Linked DNA regions of Canis lupus familiaris. The protein of the gene in region 2 interacts with the protein of the main gene of each other region in a biochemical or structural test. Links are inferred from orthologs where the notes say so. Each region holds a gene or a part of one and is shown on either strand. Other genes may lie near its edges. The genes, in order: RNF7 and CDC34.

Region 1 (3,899 bases), on a different chromosome or scaffold from region 2:
TCAACAATTGCTCACTGTGTCATCTGCTCCTTTCAGAATGAAGGGAGAAGAGTGGAAATCAAAGAAGAGAGTGTTAACCACATCAGAACAGGCTGACAGGCAAATTTTGGATCAAGAAGTCATAATGAATCATTTAGGTGATTTATGAATTTGAAATATTAAGGAGATGGAATTAAGTGGGCTCTTTTGCAGAATCTAGAAATTTCTGGATTATGATTTTGATTGAGCTTTGATTAGACTCATCAAAACCCAACCTAAGAGTGAAAAACAACAAAACCCAACCTAAATCTATAAAAATTCATAGTTTTAGATAAAGAAAATTCTTTCCATGATATTCCTAAGATCTAAAACAGAACATTTTTAAGGAGTACAATTACAGCAATACCTTTTAGAATGATGCTACTAGGGTAAGGCTTAGGAAGTCTGAAAAACTTCCTTCTGTTGTCACCTGGCCACTAAAATGGATTTTAACACCTCATAAACAAAATACAGAGGTCTAGTCCAGAATACTTTCCTTAACTCAAAGGACAGCTGTTGTAAATCTGCAAAATTAATCCACAGTCAGAATACTTGCTATAATTAGAAGGTTACTATGAATGTCAACCATTTATAGCCCATATTCTGACTTACTCTAAATATGCCAGTACAGTTTATTTGTTGCAGTATTTCAACCATTACTTTGAATTCTGCATTTCTACTTACAAATCTAAAATCTTTCTTTGGGGAGAAATATAAAAAACACTTTCTGGAACACTTTCTTTTTAACTAAAGGAAATTTAAAGGATAAAACATTAAGCAAAGTTTGCTATGCAAAAGAACAAAAAATTAAGTTGCCTGGATAAGTTAATGATGCCACTCAAACTGGAAATTATGATAGTTTAAGTAACCGAGGCATAAGGGAGTGGTAATGCAGACCAATAAACTGGGTGCTTTTAAGACCTAATATGCAAAATAAGTGGATCGTGTCTGAAATCAAGTTCTTTCAAAAGTAAAAAATATCGTTCCAATTTTAGCATAGGTACTGCCCAAGCGGGCACTCAAAAGTAAAAAATAAACAATACTTGAATCCTATTGTCATAAATACTCTCTGAAACAAGATTTTATGAATAAAAAACAAGTGTGCTTAAAAAGAGTGGAAACTGAGATTCTCTCCATTCTAGCAGGTTTTAATGTCATCCCTTGAGAGAGCAATTCTGTTTATTTTTCTCCAATTCTCTCATTTTTCAGAGCAGGACACGAAGTTTTCAAACTGCAGAACCTCAGTTTTCCCCACCTACCCCTAAGAAACACGAAGATCCTCTCTCCGTGTTTTGATTGTTCTATTAAAAAAATAAAAATAAAAAAATAACTTGCGTTTAGGTAGCATTGTCTTTTGCAAGGTGGTTTGAGATCTTAAAAAAAAAAAAAAAAAAAAAAAAAAACAGAGAGCATATAAAACGTAACAGGATGAAGCTGCTCTGAAAGGTCTCGTTTGGCCCAGTGTTTTCATTTGGAAGTATCACAGAAAAGAAGTCGAGACTTGATTTGTGCAAGAGGGCTCTCCATAAAGGTCTGACTCGGAGCAGGGCAGGATCGTTGTTTTTTTTTTGTTTTGTTTTTTGTTTTTCTTCAGGAAATGGCATCCTATGATAGGGAGGGGCCAGAAGGAGATGGAAGCTTTATGTTTCTGAATAAGAGGGCATCCACTCTTCCATTCCTGAGAACCTTCAATATTTTATTTTATTTTATTTAAATGTTATTTATTTATTCATGAGAGACACAGAGAGAGCGAGAGAGAGGCAGAGACACAGGCAGAGGGAGAAGCAGCTCCCTGCGGGGAGCCCGACGCGGGACTCGATCCCGGGTCTCCAGGGTCACGCCCCGGCCTCCGGGGTCACGCCCCGCGCTGCCCCACGTCCTTGAACCACCCTGTGTCTCTCCGAGGCCCCATCGCGGCGCGGGCAGGTCCGCAGGCCTGCGCAACAGCAGTTCGCCAACCCAGACACGCGACGGCTGCCGCGCCTCCCGCCGCTGCGGGGCGGACTGAGGGGTCGCGCCGGTGGGAGCGGCCTCCAGAGCATCACCCCGGCGGGTCATCGCTGCCGTTAAGGTGCCCTTACTCGCCCGGGGCCTTTCACGCCGACCCCTCCGCGCCTGGCTTTCAAGAGCTGGAGCTCGCCGCACAAACCTAAGTGGCTTCTCTTCGCTGCCATCAAATGACCCAGTTTTAGTTCTTCGGCCACACCCTTTCTCTACCTGGAATTACATCAATTCCTCCGCTCGCTGCCCGCGTCCCTCCCGGGCAGCCCCGCTCCCGGCGCCCGGCGCCCCCGAGCCCCAGCGGCGGCCCCCGCGCCCCGCCCCGCCCCGCTCCTCCCGCCCCGGGTCTCGCCGAGCCTGCTTCCCCCGGCTGCCCCCGCCGAGTCGGCCCCGCGGAGGCCGTGGCGCGGCCCGGGCCTCGCGTGCAGCGCTTACCCATCACCTGGACCCTGCAGATGGCGCACGTATCGCACTCCACGTCCCAGCTCCACATGGCCACCGCATTCCACTTCTTGAGAGAGAACATCTTGTCGCCTCCGGACTTGGAGCCTGCGCTCCCGGAGTGAGAGGACACGGCGCAGGGCTCCTCGCCGTCTTCCACGTCGGCCATGGCGGCGGCGCGGAGCCGGCAGCCGAGACGTTAAATCGGGGGAGGCGGGCGGCTATGGCGGCTCCGCGGGGCCGCCCGGCGGGCCAGAGCGCCCCCTGCAGGCCGCGGACCCCGGCGGCGCCTACGACCCGGGCCGCCTCGATTGGCCGGCGCGGCCCAGTGACGTCACTGACGCCAGCGCCCGGCCGCTCGTCGCCCCGCCCCGCCCCCGGCCCGCGGGGGCCTCCCGGAGGGCGAGGCCTGCGGGGCGACTGCGCGCGAAGCCTGGGTGCCCGCGGCCCCGAGCGCCCTGCGCAGGCCCCGGGCGACCTGCCGTGTGCCTGCCGTGTGCCTCCCGGGAGCTCAGCGCCCTCACAGGCCTCTCGTTCGTGGCACCGCCGCCACCCGCGTGTGGACCCCGCCGGAGCGGGGACCGCGTCTTCGCCCTCGGCGCCTCGTCCTCCGTATGCAGGAGACGTTTGCCTCCAGGTCTTCCGACAAACCTGGTTCAGCGGTTCTCAGACTTTCGGGGCTCAGCACCCCGATGTAGTCTGTCTGCTTTTTAAGAAGCTTAAATCGACGGGCAGCCCGGGTGGCTCAGCGGTTTGGCGCCGCCTTCGACCCAGGTCGTGACCCTGGAGACCCGGGATCCGGATCGAGTCCCACGTCGGGCTCCCTGCATGGAGCCTGCTTCTCCCTCTGCCTGGGTCCCTGCCCAACCCCCCTCTGTCGCTCATGAATAAATACATAAAATCTTTTTAAAAATTTGAGGGGAGGATTGAAATGCATCCATTTAAAAGTAACGGTAACAGGGGCGCCTGGGTGGCTCAGTGGTTGAGCGTTTGCCTTTGGCTCAGGTCGTGATCCTCGGATCCGGGATCGAGTCCCACATCCTTGCAGGGAGCCTGCTTCTCCCTCTGTCTATGTCTCTGCCTCTCTCTGCCTCTAATAAATAAGTAAAATCTCTCTCTAAAAAAAAAAAAAAAAAAACTAATAGTAATCATCTCATTACAAGTTATTAGAGGGATGGTGCCCATATAATGTAGCTTCTGGAAAACGCTCTCATAAAGAGGGAAAAGAGGGAGAATAGCTCTGAATCCTGGCATGCAAATAGTTTTGACCCGCTGGTCGCCTGCAAGGATGCCCCGGACGCAGGGGTCCATGCTCCAAGAACCTCTGCTGCTGTTTAACCTCCTCTTTTTAATGTGTAGGAGTAACACCGCTATTATCATGTGAAGGTGCCAGTTATGAAGCCTGGGCGCTTCTCTTGCTAGCCTCGGGGTCATGTTCT
Region 2 (3,899 bases):
GGGAGCCCCACAGGGGCAGGGGTCCATCTGCTGAGCAGCCCCTCACACAGGGCCCGGTCCACTCTCACCTGACGTTCTGGGTGGGGTTCCACCGCTCTGAGGGCAGCTCCCCACTCTGGGGGTCATCGACTGGGGGGTGGAGAATGGAGATGCACACGTCCCCCGTCTGTGGGTACAGGACGGAGGGATCAGGGCCCACACCGCTCACCACTCGGCAGGCAGCGCAGCGTGTCCCCCGACAGGGAGGCTGCAGGGCACGCGGCGGACTCACCTCGTAGATGTTGGGGTGCCACATCTTGGTCAGGAACCGGAAAGCCGGCGGGGAGTAGGGATAGTCGATGGGGAACTTGAGGCGTGCCTGGGAGGGCAGAGCGCAGGAGCTCAGCCAGTGCCGCCCACGGCCCCCAGCCCAGGGCCGCAGACCAGGGTGTGAGCTGGGACAGACGCGCCCGCCCGGAGGCCGCCTGGACCCTGCCTGCCGCACGCACCGCCCGCAGGCCCCAGGACTACTCAGGGTCCCCCGAGCCGATCCGGGCCCCACCCCGCGGCTGGGAGCAGGTCTCAGGCCGTGCTCAGTCCAGGCCTGTGGGAGGGACGCGCAGCCAGGCCCCAGGGAGCGCGGCGGGCTCGGGCCGGCACATGGCTCCGGCTGGCAGGGCCCTGGGAGCTGTGCACCCCCGCACGGTGGTGGACTCCTCGGCCTCAGTTTCCAGGTTGTGGGGAAGATTAAAATAGACGTGTGTTCACTCAGCAATCACTCCCGACACCTCTGTGGGCCGGGCCCTGTGGGAGGAGATGAGTCAGCGCTGGACAGACGGGCTCTCTGCCCACAAGTGTCCATCACGGGGGGGCCAGGAAGGCAGACAGGAAGGTCACGGGGCAGACTGGGGAGGGCCACCTGCCCAGGTGACACACTGCTCAGGCCTCAGCAGGTAAAGAAGCCGTGTTGGCTTGTTTGAGCCCCAGGCCCAGACGTGGGGAGGCCTGGCCCCGGATCCTGGCGGAGCTCCAGGCCGGCAGGGGCGAGCCAGCGAGCTGGGAGACAAAGCTGGGCACGTGTGCGGCAACTCCCCCAGGCCCGAATTTGGAAAGTCTCCTTCCTGGGCAGGGGGCACTCGGGGCATTTGGGGGAAGTCCCTCTGCTCTGGGGTGACCATGCTGAGGCCCAGGAGGCAGGCAGCTGGCTGGCGACTGCAGAGCACTCCTGGAACTCAGAACCTGCCCTAAGAGTTTCCAGTGATGGCCCTCGGGGGCGGGGCGGGGGGGCTCCCTGGCACCAAGCACCCACCGAATCGAGCATCCCCCGGGGAGACCGCACCACTGAGCAAGCTCAGGCTCAGAGAAGGAAAGTCCCCTACTGAGGACGCCCGGCGATAAGCCGGGAGGAGGCCTCTGAACTGCCTGTCTCTGGCACCCCGTCTGGTCACGGAGGCTCGGGAGGCCGGGCTGGCCGCAGGGCGCTGGGGGAAGTGGCTGGAAGTGACGGTGGTACTTCCCTGCGCTTCCCCAGCTCCGCTCCCGCCCGTCGCACCTGCACGAGGACCACACTGGGTGTGGGGCCCAGGCCGGCCTCCTGCAGACAGGGCCTGTGGCATCTGGAAATCTGGCCGTGGCCCAGCTCCAGTCCCTTCTTCTCAAGTGGGATGACCCCTCCCCCCCAAAGCCATCCTGGAGGATCTACCCACAATCCCTTGCAACCAGTTAACCGGCAAAAATCAGAAGCCCAAAGCCTGTGCCCTTTCCCTCCAGCTCTGCAGCCTCACCCAGGGGCTCGGCCTGCCTGAGCGTCCCGGCTGCGAGAGCCGTCGCCCTTGCAGCCCGAAGCAGACACAGGAGGCTGGCGAGGGCCCTAGATGCGCTACTAGGTGGCCAACCCCAAATCCGTGCCCTGCGTGCCAGCGGGGGCCGGGCTCCCCGGCCATGCAGAAGCTAGCCCAGGGCTGTCCACGCTCACGCCCCCTCGTCCCACTGCAGCACCACGGTGGGGTGCTCGCAACTCGGGAGTCGCCCCAGCTGACCAGGCTGCTCCCTCACGCCCGCGGCCGAGCAGGCTCAGCTAAAACATCAGCTGAAAGTGCAAACACAGACATGTGCCCCGGGAGCAGCGGCCGCCCCTCCCCCACCGCCTGGCTTCTGCTCCCCACCCTGCCCGGGGCAGAGCCTGGCAGGGCCTGGCAGGGCCTGGCGGGGCCTGGCGGGGCCTGGCGGGGCGCGCAGGCTCCCGAGCAGGGAGGGTCCTGGGCCGGCCTGGGCCGAGGGCTCGCTCCCCACCGCTCGGCAGCGAGACCCCTTGGCCCGCGCCTCTGGCTCGCGTGCACGGCCCGGCCCTGCAACCTGAGAAGCGTCCTCCGGCCCGACCGGGCTCCGGCGGCGAGGTCAGGAGGGCCGCCCGGGGCCTGGCTCCAGTCCTTTGTCACACCAGGGAAACGCGGCCAAGGCCGGGCGCGGCGGCCCTCCCGGCTCCAGGCAGCGCGGCGGGACGGCTCGGGGACCCCGCGGCCGGCGGGGGGCGCAGCGGGGCGAGCGGGGGCGCCGCGGCTCACCTTGAAGTAGCCGCCCTCGTAGTAGGTGTTGGGCGGCCCGAAGATGGCCACCTCCCAGTTGTACAGGTCGCCCTCGTCCACCAGGGTCACCCGGAAGCCCTCCACCGGCTCCTCCTGCAGCCCCTTGAGCTCCAGCAGCAGCGCCTTCTGCGAGCTGGGCACCAGCGGCCGGGCCATGGCGGCGGCGGCGGGGCCCGGGGTCGGGGGCGCGCGGGGCCGCGGGGCCGCCGCGGGGGCGCGGGACGGGCCGGGCCGCGCGCCGGCCGGGGGGACGCCGGGGCCGCCGCCGCCGCCTTCCTCCTCCTCCTCCTCGCCGCCGCCGCCGCCGCCCGGGACCCCGGGACGCTCCACTCGCTCTGGCGCCGCCGCCCGCCCGGCGCTCGCCTCCGCCTGGCCCGCGCGCCCCGCCCCGCGCTGCGCGTGCGCGCCGCCTCCGGCCCCCCGACCGCGCCTGCGCGCCGCGGCGGGGCCCGCACTGAGCCTGCGCGCCCGCCCGCGGGGCACGCCGGGAAGTGGAGTCCCCGCCCCCGGCCCGCCGAGCGCGCAGGCGCGACCGCCGGGAGGGACCGGGGGGGGGGGGGAGGCCAAGCGCGCAGGCGCCTGGGCGCTTCCGACCCCCGGGAGGCCGCCGCCGCCGCCCGCCGCTCGGACGAGCACCCCGGACGTCTGTGCGCGGGGAGGCGGGCAGGGCTGGGCTGCGCCGGCCCGGCACGCGCCGCGGGGCTTTTGGGGTCTTTTCTATGACGTCCCAGCGCGGGGCGGGGCCGGGGCGGGGTCGCCTGGCCCGGGCGGGGCGGAGCAGGTGGCTTCGCGGAAGGGGAGGAGCGGAGGGCGGGGCCTCAGTTTCCCTTCGGGGGAGCGGAGCGCGGGGCCGAGCTGGGGGCGGGGTTAGTCCCCACCGCGCCGGGCGCACACCTGGACGCACACCTGGACGCACACCTGGACGCACACCTGGCCCCGGCCTCCATCCTCCACGCCCTCAGGGACCCAGAGGGTGGGCGTGGCGCTGTGCCCGCAGCCTCGCTGGCAGGTGTCCGGCAGGCCCCAGACCAGCACCTGTGCTGCGAGCCCCTCCTCCAGGTGCCCCAACACCTGCCCCCCCGCCCCCCGCTGCCGTCGCCCAGGTGAGGACACACAGGGAGCCTTGTCTGGCGCGAGGGAAGCAGCATTTCATCTAGAGGAGAGGGACAGGGGACCGGAGGAAGAGCCCCGGGCCCGGCAGCGGCTTCCGGCGGCTGCCCCAAGGCGGGGACCCTGACGTTCCCATCCGCAGAGTGGGCAGCCGCTGCCCCGCACCCCGGGCCACCTGGCTCCGTGCCCCTGGCCAGGGGTTCCCTGGCCCTCGTTCTGTGCCCG

Evidence for each region.
Region 1: the proteins of CDC34 (region 2) and RNF7 form a complex in vitro, tested with the Homo sapiens proteins (5 studies listed by BioGRID). The link is inferred for Canis lupus familiaris from reciprocal best matches to the Homo sapiens genes CDC34 and RNF7.

What each region holds. Positions count from the first base shown.
Region 1 is NC_049244.1:38,109,776-38,113,674, reverse strand, and holds the start of RNF7 (RING-box protein 2), read right to left. Parts: upstream 2,724-3,899; 5' UTR 2,630-2,723; coding exon 2,455-2,629; intron 2,236-2,454; exon of another isoform or gene 2,168-2,235; intron 1-2,167. UniProt on the Homo sapiens protein: Catalytic component of multiple cullin-5-RING E3 ubiquitin-protein ligase complexes (ECS complexes), which mediate the ubiquitination and subsequent proteasomal degradation of target proteins.
Region 2 is NC_049241.1:58,444,912-58,448,810, forward strand, and holds the start of CDC34 (ubiquitin-conjugating enzyme E2 R1), read right to left. Parts: upstream 2,743-3,899; 5' UTR 2,721-2,742; coding exon 2,544-2,720; intron 359-2,543; coding exon 272-358; intron 167-271; coding exon 69-166; intron 1-68. UniProt on the Homo sapiens protein: E2 ubiquitin-conjugating enzyme that accepts ubiquitin from an E1 ubiquitin-activating protein, and catalyzes its covalent attachment to other proteins by an E3 ubiquitin-protein ligase complex. In vitro catalyzes 'Lys-48'-linked polyubiquitination.